2 linked regions of the Diceros bicornis minor genome follow. The protein of the gene in region 1 interacts with the protein of each later gene in a biochemical or structural test. Links are inferred from orthologs where the notes say so. Each region holds a gene or a part of one and is shown in the gene's direction. Other genes may lie near its edges.

Region 1 (7,886 bases):
GCAAGACTATAGCAGGCAGTGCTAAGAGCTCCACCACAGTAAAATCATGTGACCTGGCCAGGAGTAACCTGGGAGGCAGGAAGTGCTCTCAGAGGAGGTGGTATTTGGGCAAAAACCTGGAAGACTAGAAAAGGCCAGGTAGCAGAGATGGGGGAAGTGCATTCCAGGCAGAGGGAACATCCAGTATGAGATCCCTGAGGCACAGAACAAAAACTCAGACCTGCTGGCGGGAGGGGGGGTGGGGCAGACATAGTCTGATATATTCCGAACTGGGCCTGTTAGGTCTGCTGGATTGGACGCACAAGGGTTGGAGGATGGAGTGCGGTCAAGGGAAAGAGGGGAATTCAGGTTGACTTCTAGGTTTGGGGCCAAGCAACAGGGTGAATGGTGGTTCTGTTTTCTGAGAAGGGGAAGGCTGGGAGGGGAGCAGTTTTCGAAACATCAAGAATCCTGGAGACAACATGTATGCACTTGTTGCTCAAGAGAGGTCACGGCTGGAGATGTTATTTAAGACTTGGGATTGGATGAGATGACCTAGGAAGAGAGTGTACACAGATAAGCACCCAGGAATGAGCTCTGAGCTAAGCCTGCAGTGAGGGTTGGGGGAGGAGAGCTAGCCTCGGAGGAGGAAGCAGGATTGGGGGAGAGGGGAGAAAACAGAAACTCTAAGAACAGAATGTTCCCAGGGAGTGTTACATGTGTCCAAGGCTGCTTAGGAGAAGGGTAAGATGAGGCAGAGAAGGTCAGCTTCCGGATTTAGCAAGATGGAAGTCTCCACTATCTTGACAAGAGAAGTCTGGGTGCAGGGGTGCCGACAACTAATTTAATCTCTGTGGAGCTGTTTCCTCTGCAAAAGGAGGGTATGGGAAAAGATGATGTTTAAGGCCCCATCCTCTACTTCATCATACCACATGCTTTTAAGCCGGCAAAAAAATTTTCAAAAAAACTCCTAAAACGATTAGGGATAAGAAAAATTCTAATAAAAGAAGCTATGCTATTTGGGAGTTTATTAATCAAACAAGTTCTGCGGTCATTAGTACTCTTTTACACAAAAACTATTACGGCTATTTATACAAATTATTAGATAAGCCAAGGAAACAATGAAAATAGAACACCTAGTGGCCGGAATTCTTCTCAGAGGACCAAAGGTATATAAGATGTACCATCAAAATAGTATCAGAATGCTTTTCTACCTTATCGTCCTGTGAAGACCCTTAAAAGTTAATTCTGGACACAAGACAGAGTGGCTGCCGGTCAGGCTGTGCGAGTCCTTATTCATTCCCGTGCTCTGTCACCCACACTGCAGGGACTGGTCACCCCCCCAGAGGTCAGAAAGGAATGTTAAATCATACCAGAGATTTCCAGATTGAGTTCATGGAACTTTATAAGATTACACTAAATGCTTAGTTCTCTTTAACAATCATCTCTGCCAGTGAAAAGCTTACCCAGTGTTACCTCTAAAATACGTATTATAAAATATTTCAGACCCACAAAAACGTACAAAGGATGCTATAAAGGGCACCGTGGGCCACCACTCAGCTTAATAAAACATTACTACCGCTGACGAGGCCCCCATGGAGGCATCATTCTCCCCGTCCTCCAGATAGTCACTGTCCTGAATTTCCACCCAAAGTTAGTGAGTCCTGAAAAATAACCCAAATTCTTGTTTTGCCGAGAGTGTTCTATATTTTTCCCTATTGCCTACTGACTGTACTTTTGAAGTGACTGAGGCTAGAGCTTGTCATACTCTTTGTGAACTTTTATTTATTGGTTGAGATTAACCTGGCACCAGCGTGGAGACAGGCTCCAGCTGATCTGATAGGAAGCGGATGTTCTGTGCGACAGCTCTGGTCCTTGCCGCCGTATCTAAAGGGACTGTGAGGGCTGCCTCACTTTAGTGTACCCTTGCCTGAAAAACTTCAAGCAATTTCCCAACAGCCTTTGCCAGGCTCATGGCAGACATACAATTTCCCTCCTCTAGCTGAAAAACTGAAACCCTGCAGGGGAATAACTTCACACATAAGAAGTGAAGGGAGAGGCAAATTAAGTCATATTTGTCAGGATCCTGCCACACCCTAAGTCAGTGGTTCTCAGATTTTGGTGTAAGTCAGACTCACCTGGGGATTTGTTAAAGACGCAGATCCCAGGGTTAACCTGAGACTTAAGGACCCATGATTCCTAGAGCGGGCTCCATGAGTGAGTCTAATGCACACCAAGGCTTCAGTACCACTGTCCTAAGCAATTCTCATAGGTTCCTTGGAGTTCAGTCTTCTGTGTGTGTGCTGGGGGTGGGGAGGGCTGGGGAGAAGTTTAGGTTCTCAAGTCAGGTGAAAATAAATTACCCTTGGAAAATGCCCTGAAAACACTCCTAAGATACAGTACAAAGGTTTTATTTTTGGGTTGGGGAACCCTGTACAGTAACATGTAAATATAATGCATAAGGCTTACAGTAATGTAAAGCAAATGGGGAAGGCTTATGACTTTATGCTATTTTAACTTAAACAACAAAAGTATACCTATAAATCAAATTTGAGTAAGTTAAACGCTCCCATTATATGACTCAGTGACACAAGAACTCCATACATTATTATCTCCAGTCTACGGCTGAAGAGGCAGGAGCTCAGATGAAGAGACTGGCCCAAAGTGAGGGGCTTGTAGATGCTGGAACCAGAATTCAGACTCAGCTCTGTTCGTTTCTGAAACTTGTGGTCTTTTCATTTTACCACACTGCCGCAGGCCAATTCCTTTTCACCATTCCCCTGAAGGGTAAAGTTCACAAATGCTCCAGGTCTTGGGCCACTGCTATTTCAAAACACCCAATTTAGAAGACAATATACCGTAAAGTGGGTGAGATAAACAATTATGTTAGAGGCACATCCTATCAGCAGAGTTGGGGACCAGAAATGACTAACAAGTCTCCAGGCAGTGATAAGAGGCGGAGATAGAGCAGGCTGGGGTAACATGTCCAGTCTGAACCATTATCACTGCAGGTTATTTAAATATCTTTCATAGTTTCCTTCCTCCTGCAGTTAACTTTACATCTTCATTTTAATAGAAAAGAAAGTCTTTCAGAGGGAACAGACTTGCTGTTGGAATACAGGACAAAATCTCAGAAAAGGCCTCCCTCTTCACCTGGACCTCTAAAATGCCCTGGTCCTGCAGCTGGGAGAGGGTGACAGGTACAAGCTGACAAGGGGTACCCCAGAAGCAGTCTGCCCCCGTGACAGGTTAGGCATTAGTGGGAGGCCCACATTCTGCTAAGCACTTTGCACACATTATCTCACTTAATCCATACAAGTCCATGTCGGGGGGCTACTAGTATCTCCAGTCTACGAATTGGGAAGGTGAGTCTTGGAGAGTTTGGGTCTTTGCCCAAAGTCACTGGTTACTGTCTGTACCAGGAGAGATTCAAGTGCTTACTGTGTGCCAGGCTCTGCTCTAGGCATCTCACATGCATTAATTCCTCTAATCCTCATAACAACCCTAGGAAATAGGTGCCATAATTATGCCATTTTACAGATGTGAAAACGAAAGCACAAAGGAGTTAATAACGCGCTCAACTCACATGGGGAGTTAGTGGCCAGCCCAGGAAAGGAATTCCGGAGAAGCTCTGGTCTCAACCCTTAGCCTACATCACAATCCCCTGGAGGGCTTGAAGATAGACTGCTGGGCCCCAGCCCTACAGATTCTGAGCCCTAGGTTTGGGGCGGTCCCCTTGAATTTCCATTTCCGCCAGTTCTCAGGTGATGCTCACGATGCTAGTGTGCGAAGCACGCTTAGAGAACCACCGCTCTGGAGCTGGCTCACCGAATCACTGCGCCACAAATGCGCCTGGCCACCAAAGTCCATGTGTTTTGTGTGTTTTTTAAAATTCCTCTTGAGATCCATTTGCAAAAAATATTAAAAACAATTCCTAGAATTTCTCCCTATGGCGATTTCTGCTATAGCTTTGTGCTAGTCAAGTCAAAGGAGGCCACAGCTGTGTCCTTTAACCAGAGCGTTCGGCGATGGAGCGTCTTCTAGGCTTGTGTCCTTCTCGACCCAATCCGAACGCGGAGGCCGGCCGGCCACGTGCGCCGAGACGCAGAGGCCAGGTACGGCCGCCCCAGGCCCGGGGTTCTCAGAACCCGCCCCGGTCGCGGCGCAAGGACAAGCAAATGACCTGACCACGGGGAGCAGCCCCACCCCAAAATGGCCCAGCATCTCCCCTCTGGCCGCCTGCTCCTCCAGGTTTATTTACATTTTCTTGCTTTCTCTCTGTCCACTGTGGGGCAAATAATCTGACGTCTTACATCTGCAATCAGGAGTTGAACCAAATTCGGCAAAGTTTTTCTCCAAGGGCAAGGGAACAGGCAGAGAAGAGGGAAGGGTCTTCACGATGGAGAGAGACGGCGGGGCGGGAGGGAGGCGGAGGACGCCCCCGCCCGGGTCTCCAAGGCCCTCAGGGGCGCCCTCCTGGGCGGGGCGGGGGGCGCCCGGCGGGGCGGGTGGGAGGCGGGAGAGCCCCTGGGCGGCCAGCGGCCGCAGCCATTTTGCGCGCCGGGCGCACCTCGCAGGTCGGGCGGGGCGGTTAGGGGCGCGGCCCCGGGACCCCGCCCCGCCGGGGACTCTTGGGAGCGCGGGCCGCGGGCGCACTGCGCGGACACGCCGACAGCGGGAGAGCAGCCGTCCTCTGCAGGCGCCGCCGGTGAGCCCGGCGCGTGGCCGGGGTTGGCGGGCGGAGGGGTCGGGCCGGGGTTGGGGGGGCGCGCCCCGCAGAGGGGACAGTGGCCGGGACTCGACGACAGGTGTGGCGGGGCCGGTCTGGCGGAGGGGCGGCCCGCGCGCAAGCCCCGGGCCGGCGGTCCCCGAGGGGAATCGGGCTCGCCCCTCCGCCGGCCGCGTTCGGGGTCTCGGGCCGGTGGGGTCCTCGCCTGGCCCTCCGGGCATGGCTCTCCCGTTCGGCCCAAAGAAACAGCAGGTGAAGCTGAACCTGCTGGTGTGGCCGCCCCCGCTGCTCCGCGACCTTCCTCTTTCCACTCTGTGCCCTGGAGTCCCCCTTCCAAAGTGCCAGCGGAGCCTGGGCTGCGTGGCCGCGCCCCTGCCCGCGCCCTCGTGCTTCGCTTGGCCCCGCGGTCCTCGGCCCTTCCCGGGCGGGGCCGGTTTTCTTCAAGTGTTTCTCAAAGGCTTGACGGTTGCGGTTTCAGCCCTGGGGCAAACGGTTGCTTCACAAAGTGAAACTTGCTGTTTGCTGGGCTCCCCGCTGGCTTCCGGGAAGCCCCGAGAAGTACCTCTGGGGACCCCCGCCCCGCCGCTTCCCAGTCCGGGAGCCGGCCCCCGCCCCGGCGCCCGGGTCCCCCGACCCCTCCCCGCCGGGATCCGCGCCGCCCGCCCCGGCACCCTCCCCGCCAAGCCCCCTTCCTGGCGCCGAGGCCCCCCGCCCGGGCCCTACATCCCTATGCGCGCGCGCGCGCGCAACCCTCCCCACCGGCTCCCTCCCCCCAGGTCCCCTCCGGCTGGGTCCATCCCCCCGGGTTCCCGGGCCCCCTCCGGCCGGCCCCCTCCCCCCGGGACCCCGGGACCCCGCGCCCCCTCCGGCTGGGTCCCTCCCCCCGGGACCCCGAGCCCCGTGCTGGCCAGGTCCAGCCCCCTCCTCACCGGGTCTCTCCCCGCCGCCCCCTCCCCCTCCCCCCCTCCCCCCCCGGGCCCCCGCCCCCGCCCCCTCCCCGCAGGGCCCGCCCGCCCGGCCTGCGGTAATTGCAGGTTGGGCGGTGACTCATCCCGGCGCCCGCCCGGCGGGTTCTTAAGCAGCGGCGCGGGGCGGGCGGCGAGTCTCGGGGCGCGGCGGCGGGCGCGGGAGGAGGGCTGCTGCGCGCTCTAAAGGGCTTCCCTCTGCCTCCAGGTCGGGAGAACCGTCTCAGCTGCTGCTCGAGAGTAGTGTTTCCAGGGGATTGAGGAAAACCCATCAGGAACCGAAAATGCCGAAACCAGTAAGTAACCCAGTTTCTGGGCTGGGGCGGAGGCTTCGAGCTGTATTTTCAATTGGAGGCACCTGGGCGAGGTGTTGGGGCAGGGTTTTTTAAACGGATAAGAGGGCAGGAGTAGGGAATTGTCTCTCCTCTTTGTTGTGTGTTGGTCCTTTTAGGGACCTCCTGAAGAAAACACGATTTTGATGCTTTTCTCTACAGTCTTTTTGTTTGCGAGCTCCGCCCCCCAGGAGTTACGGTCTTTTATACAAGTTAGAATCCCCTTTTACACCGCTTCAGTCTGTTTCAAAGTGTATTCTAATGCAACTTGGAAGTTGCTTAGAAAGAAAAGTTGTCTAAATCGCAGGAGAGTTGAGTGACGTCCGACGGCGCACACCAACTCCGAGTCCCTCCGAGTCCGGAGCCAGATGCACCCCAAATCTTCTTTTGGCGCCCCCAAGGGCATCTGGCAGAGGAGACGCTGTCTTTCTGGCGGGCAGCCCCGTTCCAGTGCATTGCACGCCGGCGCAGCCTGTGGAGCTGTGCTCTGTTCGCCCGGAATTTGCTGGTGGCAGCAGGATTCCTATCTGAAAGAGTTTAGTAATGGACTTGAATTGCAGATGAGGGCAGGCAGCCCCGGAGTTTGATAAGGAGGCTCCCTGGGCCCTCTCTGGTCTTGCACTCCTGGTAAATGTCATAAACATCAGCTGATGTCAGGGCTGCCGTGCCCGCACCTCTGTGCCCCGGAATCTGATTTTGTTGCGTTCTCTGCGAGTTGGCTAGCCAGGCCTGGGGTGTTAGGCTTTCGCTTAAGTTATGGGACCGAGGCAGGTTCTTTGTGACGGGCGTTTCTTAGGAAGTAGTATATATTCTGCCTGCTTTAACGCAGGTAAACTGGTGACCAGATACTGGGGAGGAGGGTTTAAATTTTAATCGAGTTTTGAATCACGGTGGAGAAAATGTCTGGGTTCATTAAAAATTGCAATAAAAGATACATATGGAATAGTTTTTGAAACAGATTGGTTCTGTAGTGGATGCTGTATGTGCTTTTCTACCGTTAAATGTTAGATTCTCTAAAATGAGTTCTTTATTAATAAAGTCTTATTTTGTTGTTTAAGTAAGTAAATTACTATGTTAATATACTAAAAGATTGAGAAGCTAGTATAGTTTTTGCCTAAATTATTTCATCAAGATGATTCATTCGTGATGCAGAAAATTTTTTTTCCTACACAAAATTCTTTTAGTTTCGAACTTGCAATCGGTCCGTGACATCCGGGCTTTACAATCCCTATGATATAAAACTGACCTAAATACAGCCGCTTACTTGGGGCACAGCCCTGAGCAGTTATGCAGAGCAGTGGTCAAGAGATTACCATTTCCTGGTGTGGTTTTCTTTATTTCACGAAAAGATGCAGAGTTCAGATTTTAGCGTATCACTTAGAAGAAAAGAGTTAATAAACCAGTTTCCAGTCAGTACTTTTCTCTCTCATTTCTCATGATGAACTGTAATTTCTTTTCTTTTTCTGGTTTCCTTTTTTTATTGTAGTAAAATATACGTAACATTCAATTTGCCATCTTAACTATTTTTAACTGTACAGTTCAGTGGCACTAAGTACATTCACATTGTTGTGCAAGTGTCACCACCATCCATCTCCAGAACTTACCCAAACTGAAACTCTGTCCACATTAAACACTAACTCCTCATTTCTCCTTCCCCCTAACCCCTGGCCACCACCCTTCTACTTTCTGTCTCTATGAATTTGACTACTCTAGTTATCTCATATGAGTGGAGTCACACAGTATGTGTTCTTTTGTGACTGGTGCATTTAGCTTAGCCTGATGTCCTCAAGGTTCATCCATGTTGTACGTAGTGTGTCAGAATTTCCTTCCTTGAGTAAAGCTCCCTTTCTATTTCTTATAGCCGTTATATTTTGATTTCAT
Region 2 (8,247 bases), on another chromosome or scaffold:
CACAGAAGGTGCCAAATAACCAGTCGTTAAATATACCAACAAAAGATTTGGGGGGCCGTGTGCCGTGTAGATAAGCCAGCCAATTTCACTCTTTCCCCGCTGTGTGACCTCAGGCAAGTGGCATCCCCTCTCTGGGCCTCAGTTCTCAACTGTGAACTGGGGACGGTCATCTTGCTACCTCGCAGGACTCATGGAAAGAACTAATGAGGTCATTTATGTCAAATGCTTAGCAGACAGACATGCAAACAATTGCTTAATAAACATTTGATATTATTGTTAATCTGGTGTTTGCTGAAGTGTTTCTCCTTACCAGTTGTACTAGAGACGGGCTATGTGTTAGCCATGTTGTGAAAGGCACGGGCTATGTGTTAGCCGTGTTGTGAAAGGCAGTTAAATAATTTCCTTTTTCATAAGCCTTCTCGAAATCTTGCTCATTGCCAGCTCTCCTGACCAGACAGTTCCACACTATTCTAGTGACATTTGCTTTTTATAACAGTTTTCAAAATTAAATATTCATTATAATTATAAATCTTTGTTTTGTTTTGTTTTGTTTTTTGCTGAGGAAGATTGGCCCTGGGCTAACATCTGTCCCCATCTTCGTCTACTTTATATGTGGACGCCTGCCACAGCATGGCTCGATAAGCGGTGTGTGGGTCTGTGCCCAGGATCCGAACCTGCAAACACCAGGCCACTGAAGCAGAGCACATGAGGTTAACCACTATGCCACCAGGCCGGCCTCAATCCTCCTCTTTTTTTGCTTGAGGAAGATTAGCCCTGAGCTAACGTCTGTACCAATCTTCCTCTATTTTGTATATGGGACGCCACCACAACATGGCTGACAAGTAGGTCTGGCCCCGGGATCCAAACCCCAGAACCCAGGCCGCCGAAGCAGAGGGTACTGAACTTAACCACTAGGCCACGAGGCTGGCCCATGGATACATATTATTGACTTAGGCAGTGAAAGTCTCTCGCTGTGCATCAGCCACTACTGTCGCCTCTGGTTTCCTGTTTTTGTTTCCAGAGACATTTTACCCAGATAAAAGGAAATCTGTACACATTATACTTTCCCATCTTTTGCAAAAATAGTAACATGTCCTACTATATAGAGCTCTCATCTATATCCTTGTGATTTATTTTTTCCATGTAATAGGTCTTGGAGATGGTCCCACATATCCAGGCAAACAGTTTTCTTGTTCTATTTTATGATTTCATTGTAGTCATCGCTGACGTGTTATCTGCCTTTATTCCCCGCTGGGGTTCCTGTTGTCATTTCTAATCCTTTGCCAGGCCCAGGATGGTGCTGTAGTGAGTAACCACATGCGGACATCATTTCACCCACGTTCAAGGGTATCTGTAGGACAAATTCTTAACAGGAGGGGCCGGCCCTGTGGCTTAGAGGTTAAGTGCGTGCGCTCCGCTGCTGGCGGCCCAGGTTCGGATCCTGGGTGCGCACCGACGCGCCGCTTCTCCGGCCATGCTGAGGCCGCGTCCCACATACAGCAACTAGAAGGATGTGCAGCTATGACATGCAACTATCTACTGGGGCTTTGGGGGAAAAAAAAAAAAGGAGGAGGATTGGCAATAGATGTTAGCTCAGAGCCGGTCTTCCTCAGCAAAAAGAGGAGGATTAGCACGGATGTTAGCTCAGGGCTGATCTTCCTCATAAAAAAAAAAAAATTCTCAATGGGAATGGCATTTAGGATCTTGTCTGGTAACCGGGAAAATACACTGCCCCTAGAATATGTTTTGATATTTGATAAGGCAGTTCTCTCTCTCTCTCTTTTTTTTCCCCAAAGTTATCTTGGCTTACCCTTGTGCAGCTACTTTTTATTTATTTATTTATTTATTTTGTGAGGAAGATCAGCCGTGAGCTAACATCCATGCTAATCCTCCTCTTTTTGCTGAGGAAGACTGGCCTGGGCTAACATCTATTGCCAATCCTCCTCCTTTTTCTCCCTTTTTCCTCTCTAAAGCCCCAGTAGATAGTTGTATGTCATAGCTGCACATCCTTCTAGTTGCTGTATGTGGGACGTGGCCTCAGCATGGCCGGAGAAGCGGTGCGTTGGTGCGCGCCCGGGATCCGAACCCGGGCCGCTAGCAGCGGAGCGCGCGCACTTAACCGCTAAGCCATGGGGCCGGCCTCAATTACGGACAATTTAAAGCATATACAAAAGAAGGGAAAATAATGTAATGAACCTGTGCTTACCCAACAGGCGGCATCAAGTTTGCAACACCCGTGGCCAGTCTTGTTTCAACTCTCCCCCACCCCCGCCCCGCCACGAGGTCATTTTGAAGCAAATCTCAGATATATCATTTTGTCAAAACTTCCATCAGTATCTCGAAAAGATGTAACCACAAACAGTAACTACAAAATCATGACCGCCCACAGAAAGTTGAATGATAATTCCTCAACATCATCGTGCAGCCTCAGTTTCAATTTCCCCAATTGTCTCTTAAATATTTGGTGTGTGTTTGTTTAGAGTTTGTTCAAAGAAATATCCAGGTCCGGCCTGTGGCTTAGCGGTTAAGTGCGCGTGCTCTGCTACTGGCGGCCCGGGTTCGGATCCCGGGCGTGCACCGACGCACCGCTTCTCCAGCCATGCTGAGGCGGCGTCCCACATACAGCAACTAGAAGGATGTGCAACTATGACATACAACTATCTACTGGGGCTTTGGGGAAAAAAAAGGAGGAGGATTGGCAATAGATGTTAGCTCAGGGCCAGTCTTCCTCAGCAAAAAGAGGAGGATTGGCATGGATGTTAGCTCACGGCTGATCTTCCTCACAAAAAAAAAAAAAGAAAGAAATATCCAGACGATCCACGCACTGCATTTGGCGGAGGGCGGGTTCCTTTAAGTTCTGGATTCGTCTTCCTCTTTTTTTTCCTCCTTGCAACATCCTTGTTGAAGAAACTAGGTTGTTTGTTCCATAGACTTTTCCGCTGTGGCGTCATCTTTGTGGTCGACTTGAATGCATTCCTCTGTCCTCACCTTGACCCACCAATGGTCAAGTTCAATTTCCATTTTTTGGCAAGACTCACAGAGGGCACTGTGCCCTCTCCGCAGGAGACACTCAGGGTCAGCTTGTCCCTCCTGTTGTGACATGAACAGCCACCCAGATCCATCAGGGATGCATTTTATTTTCCAACATTTTACTCTGAAAAATTGCCAACATATAGAAAAGTTGGGAGAATAGTACAGCAAACATCTCTAAATTCCACCATCACCCAGTTGCTAAATTTACCTTATTATGCGGTATCTGTCATTTCTCTGCCATCCATCAATCCATCTCATATTTTGGATACAAATCAAAATAGGTGGATGTCATTTTTTTCCTGTGGTGAAATATACATAATATACATTTTACCATTTTGACTATTTTTAAGTGTATGATTCAGTGGCATTAAAAACATTCACAATGTGTGTAATCAATACTATTATTTACAGAACTTTTTCATCTTCCCAAACAAAAATTTGTCCCCACTGGACACTAACTTCTCATTCCCCTCTCCTCTCAGCCCCTGGTAACAACTGTCTACTTTCTCTAGGAATTTGCTATTCTAGTGTCTTCATTTGAGTAGAATATTTGTCCTTTTGTGTCTGGCTTATTTCGCTGAGCATGATGTTCTCAAGGTTCATCCATGTTGTAGCACGTGTCAGAATTTCATTTCTTTTTAAGGGTGAATGGATGGACCACTTTTTTTCTGTTGTTTTTTTTTTTGACAGCAGCCATCCTAATAGGTGTGAAGAGCGATCTCACGTGGTCTTAATTTGCATTTTCCTAATGGCTATGTTACCGCACAAAATTGGGGTCCTCTTGCCCGAAGCACATCAAGAGGCAATTACTGAGGCATCAGCTTTGGGAAAAAGACACCAGCTTTATTGCTAGGTTGATCTGCAAGGAGACAGGGGCCTGTGTTCTCAGATCTGTCTCCCCAATCCAGGGCTTGGGGCACAATTCATGGGATGAAGGGCGGGGCTGTCTGAAGCGCAGAGATAGATGGTTGGAGGAGAGCAGAGGTGAGGTAACTGATGATCTGCGCAAGCGCGGTCAAGCTCCGTGGCTCTTCATGTTCACAAAATAGTGGCGGTAGCATGATCTGAGCGTGGAGTTTTCAGCCCTTGGACGTCAAAAGGGTCACCTATGGGTCATCCTTGCAAGCCCAGTTGATGAGCTGGTGGTCTTCACCAGCCTGAACTGCACAAGGGGTCTCAGGTCCTGAAAAACCACTCTCAATTACTCTTGATGAGATGGGGTCAGTTGAACTGGTCCTGGAGGGCCTGTGGTTACAGCTAGTGAGGTTGAGCATCTTTTCGTGTGTTTATTGGCCATTTGTACAGCTTCCTTGGAGACATGTCTATTCGAGTCCTTTGTTCGTTTTTGAATCGGGTTGTTTTGTTGTTATTGACTTGTAAGAATTTCTTTATAATCTGGATATAAGCCTTTATCAGATATATTATTTACAAATACTTTGGATTTGGGTTTTAGTTGCTCTCTCAGCACCGTGCAGGAAATGGACTGGGGGGCCAGGCAGTTGACTGGAGGGGGGAGGTGCCCCAGGTGAGGCAGGAGGGGGCGTGGCCTCAGGGATGGGGAGAGTGGATGAACGCCGGGTGTTATCGACGCCCTCCACAAGGTCCCTCTCTGGAGCTCAGATCAGAGGCACAGGAGGCGGGTCAGAGGCCTGAGAGATGGAAGTGGGAGTGCCCACCTGACCCCCCAGTCCCTTCTCTTGGGATGAAAGGACCAGCTGCCCAGAGGGGAAGGCAAGGGAGGATGAGACAGGGGACAGGGCCAGTTACAAGTAGCATCCTTGACAGACAGTGGTTCAGATTTCAGCTGTCTCCCTGCCTCAGCACTGCACACGGGGCATGGGCGGCCCCAAGATCTTCAAAGGGAAAGGGCCTACAGGAGCCACTCAGGTGGTCAACACAGAGCTGGGCACCCAGTAAATGTGGGCGCTGTTCATTTTCATGGCTTCCCTCATCTTACGGGTCCCTCATTATCATCCCCAGATCTCTTAATTGCCCCCCAGGAATGTTGAGATCTCATGCTAACCCCTTGAGGCCCTACCTAGAAGTCCCTTCATTTCCCCCTGAAATGTTGCCTTGAAATCTCATCTTATCACCTCCAGGACAGTGCTTGGAGGTCCCCCATAAGTTCAGCTGGAAGGAGGTGTCTCATCTCCCTCCACGGCCCCCCCAGGCTTCGTAGTTCTGAGAACAAAGGAAGTTGATTGTGTTCCACTTCCTGTGAGTTCATTTCTGGACCAGCAGTGTAACTGACGTCTGCCCTGCCAGAGACTCACCAGCACCCTCCACCTTGCTGGGCCCTACCTAGGTCCCCCACTCTGGACCCCCGGGGTCACAGAGTATCCCCCTGCCCCTCCCCAGGCCTGAGCAAGGGGCAGCCCCTGGACTTCTGCAATCCTCACCACTGTGGCTGCACTTCCGTCCCCTGGGCGGCTCCGCCTGTTCCCTGCTGCCAGACGCCTTCCTCCCGCAGGCTGGCTACTGTGATGCCCTCAGGGCGACTGCCTGGGGCCTGCTGGATGTCGCTCGTCTTCCTGCTTCTCATCGGCTGTCTGCTGCCCGCAGGTGAGGAGAGTCAAGCTGGGGAAGGCTGGAGTCGGGAGGTCAGTAGAGAGAGGGTAAGAGAACAGAGAAAGCAAAGCTCTCCACTTCCTGTGCCCTGGCCATCTCGAGGACTTCCTGAAACTCAGATCCGACAGGGGCTCGAGAGAAAGTTGTGTCTCCTTAACGCAGCCTCCAGGGCTCCCCGAGGCGCCATCCCTGCATGTAACTTGTTCCCTACCCCCAACACACACACACACACACACACACTCTCCCAGCTCCATGTAGCCCCTCGATGTGTGCCTATGCTCTTCCCTCTGCCAAGACCTTGCTTCCCTTTCATTTAGCTAACGCCTACTTATCCTTCAAAACTGGCCATGGTCGTCCCCTCCTCCAGGAAGCCTTCCCTGACTCACTCCCTCCTGTAGTTTGGATCAGGGTTTCCTTGGCCTTCCTCCAAACTCTCCCCAGTTCCTGATCCATCATCCGTCTTCCCCACTAGACTAACGCACCCTGAAGGCGGGGACCATTATACCTGGGCATGAGGTGGGACCTGAGGATGGGGGGTTGGGGGGCACCAGAACAATCACGAGAGTTTCTGTCTCTTCCCGCAGGTGTCCATGGGCAGTACTCACTGCGATTTGAGCCCCAGGACCTAGTGGTACCTGATGGAGGGTCCATCTCGGTAAACTGTAGTACAGATTGTCCCCATCCTCAATCCTTCCATCTGGAGACCTTCTTACCCAAGAAGTCGCTGGGTCAGGGCTCGCGCTGGGCAGCCTTCCAGCTCAGCAATGTAACCAATGACAGCCAGATCCTCTGCTCCAGCTTCTGCTACAGCTTCCAGCTGTCAACCTCTTCTAACATCACAGTGTACCGTGAGTGGACGTGCCTGGAGGGAGGAATGGCCTTGGGTGGTGGCGGGGGGGTGGGTAGATGGCCAGTGGTGCAGGGGGAGCAGAGGCCTGGAGTTTGCAGGAATGGACCAGGGCTCTGACCCAGAGCCTGGACCTGGATATGTGTGTGTGTGTGTGACAGACAGAGGTAGAGACAGAGACACAGAGAGATACACCTCAACTGTATGTCAGGCCAGCAGCTGTGACATCAATTTATTTGGGTCCTAGCAAGCATTTTTAAAATGACATCTCTTGGGCCGGCCCTGTGGCTTAGTGGTTAAGTGCGCGCGCTCCGCTACTGGCGGCCCGGGCTCGGATCCCGGGCGCGCACCGACGCACCGCTTCTCCGGCCGTGCTGAGGCCGCGTCCCACATACAGCAACTAGAAGGATGTGCAGCTATGACATACAACTATCTGCTGGTGCTTTGGGGGAAAAAAAAGGAGGAGGATTGGCAATAGATGTTAGCTCAGAGCCGGTCTTCCTCAGCAAAAAGAGGAGGATTAGCATGGATGTTAGCTCAGGGCTGATCTCCCTCACACACACACACACAAAAATGACATCTCGCATCTTCTAGTTATTACTTTTACTTTTATGGCAGGTAATCAATTCATGTGGTTCCAAAATCAAAACAGCATAAAAAGCTGTAAATTTCAAGCCTCCATTTGTATAGCGCTGGCTGCCAGCAGCTGCTGTTTTATTTTTCTTCGTGAGGAAGATTAGCCCTGAGCTAACATCTGCCAATCCTCCCCGTCTATTCTTGAGGAACACTGACCCTGGGCTAAACCATCCATGCCCATCTTCCTCCCCTTCATACAGGAGGCCGCCTCAGCGTGGCCTAACAAGCTGTGCGTCGGTGCACGCCCGGGATCCGAACCCCGGCTGCCAGCAGCGGAGCGAGTGCACTTAACTGCTACGCCATGGGGCTGGCCCCTGTGGCTACTGTTTTAAATGTTGACTTATTCACTCCTTACAACAGCCCCGGGGTGGGGAGGTTCTCTTATGAGCCTCATTGCAGATATGGAGACCGAGGCTCGGGGGGTCAAGTCACGTGCCAGCGCTCACAGCCCACGAGCAGAGCAGCTGGCAGTCTGGTTCGCAAATCCCTGTCTGTAACAGGCTAGGTCTTCCTCTCCAGACTCTGCGTCCCCCTGTTACTGGTTTCTTATGGATCCTTCCAGACTTCCTCTGCATTTAAAAGAATACAACAGGGCCGCCCCGTGGCTTAGCGGTTAGGTGCGCGCGCTCCGCTGCTGGCGGCCCGGGTTCGGAACCCCGGGCGCGCACCGACGCACCACTTCTCCCGCCATGCTGAGGCCGCGTCCCACATACAGCAACTAGAAGGATGTGCAGCTGTGACACAACTATCTACTGGGGCTTTGGGGGAAAAAGAAGAGGAGGATTGGCAATAGATGTTAGCTCAGAGCTGGTCTTCCTCAGCAAAAAGAGGAGGATTAGCACGGATGTTAGCTCAGGGCTGAGCTTCCTCACACACACACACAAAAAAAACACATTAAAAGAATACAATAGACTAGGAAATAGCAGAGAACACGGTGCCTACTGTTTTGGGAAGCCTTGAGATTAAGTGTAGTGTACGTGTGTAATCGCGTAGGCTCCTGTGTGTGCGCTGGTATATTTGTGCTTGTGTACTTACGTGTGTGTCCGCGAGTGTATGTGTCTGTGTGAGTGTACGTGTGTCTGTATATGTGTTGTGTCTGTATGTTTGTGTGTGCCTGTGTTTGTATCTGTGAATGCCTATGAACTTATGTGTGTGTCTGTGTG

What was found. The genes of interacting proteins can lie anywhere in the genome.
Region 2: the proteins of EZR (region 1) and ICAM3 form a complex in vitro, tested with the Homo sapiens proteins (2 studies listed by BioGRID). The link is inferred for Diceros bicornis minor from reciprocal best matches to the Homo sapiens genes EZR and ICAM3.

What each region holds. Positions count from the first base shown.
Region 1 is NC_080778.1:10,869,406-10,877,291, forward strand, and holds the start of EZR (ezrin), read left to right. Parts: upstream 1-4,590; 5' UTR 4,591-4,687; intron 4,688-5,881; 5' UTR 5,882-5,957; coding exon 5,958-5,969; intron 5,970-7,886. UniProt on the Homo sapiens protein: Probably involved in connections of major cytoskeletal structures to the plasma membrane. In epithelial cells, required for the formation of microvilli and membrane ruffles on the apical pole. Along with PLEKHG6, required for normal macropinocytosis.
Region 2 is NC_080769.1:8,854,323-8,862,569, forward strand, and holds the start of ICAM3 (intercellular adhesion molecule 3), read left to right. Parts: upstream 1-5,246; 5' UTR 5,247-5,516; coding exon 5,517-5,595; intron 5,596-6,185; coding exon 6,186-6,449; intron 6,450-8,247. UniProt on the Homo sapiens protein: ICAM proteins are ligands for the leukocyte adhesion protein LFA-1 (integrin alpha-L/beta-2). ICAM3 is also a ligand for integrin alpha-D/beta-2. In association with integrin alpha-L/beta-2, contributes to apoptotic neutrophil phagocytosis by macrophages.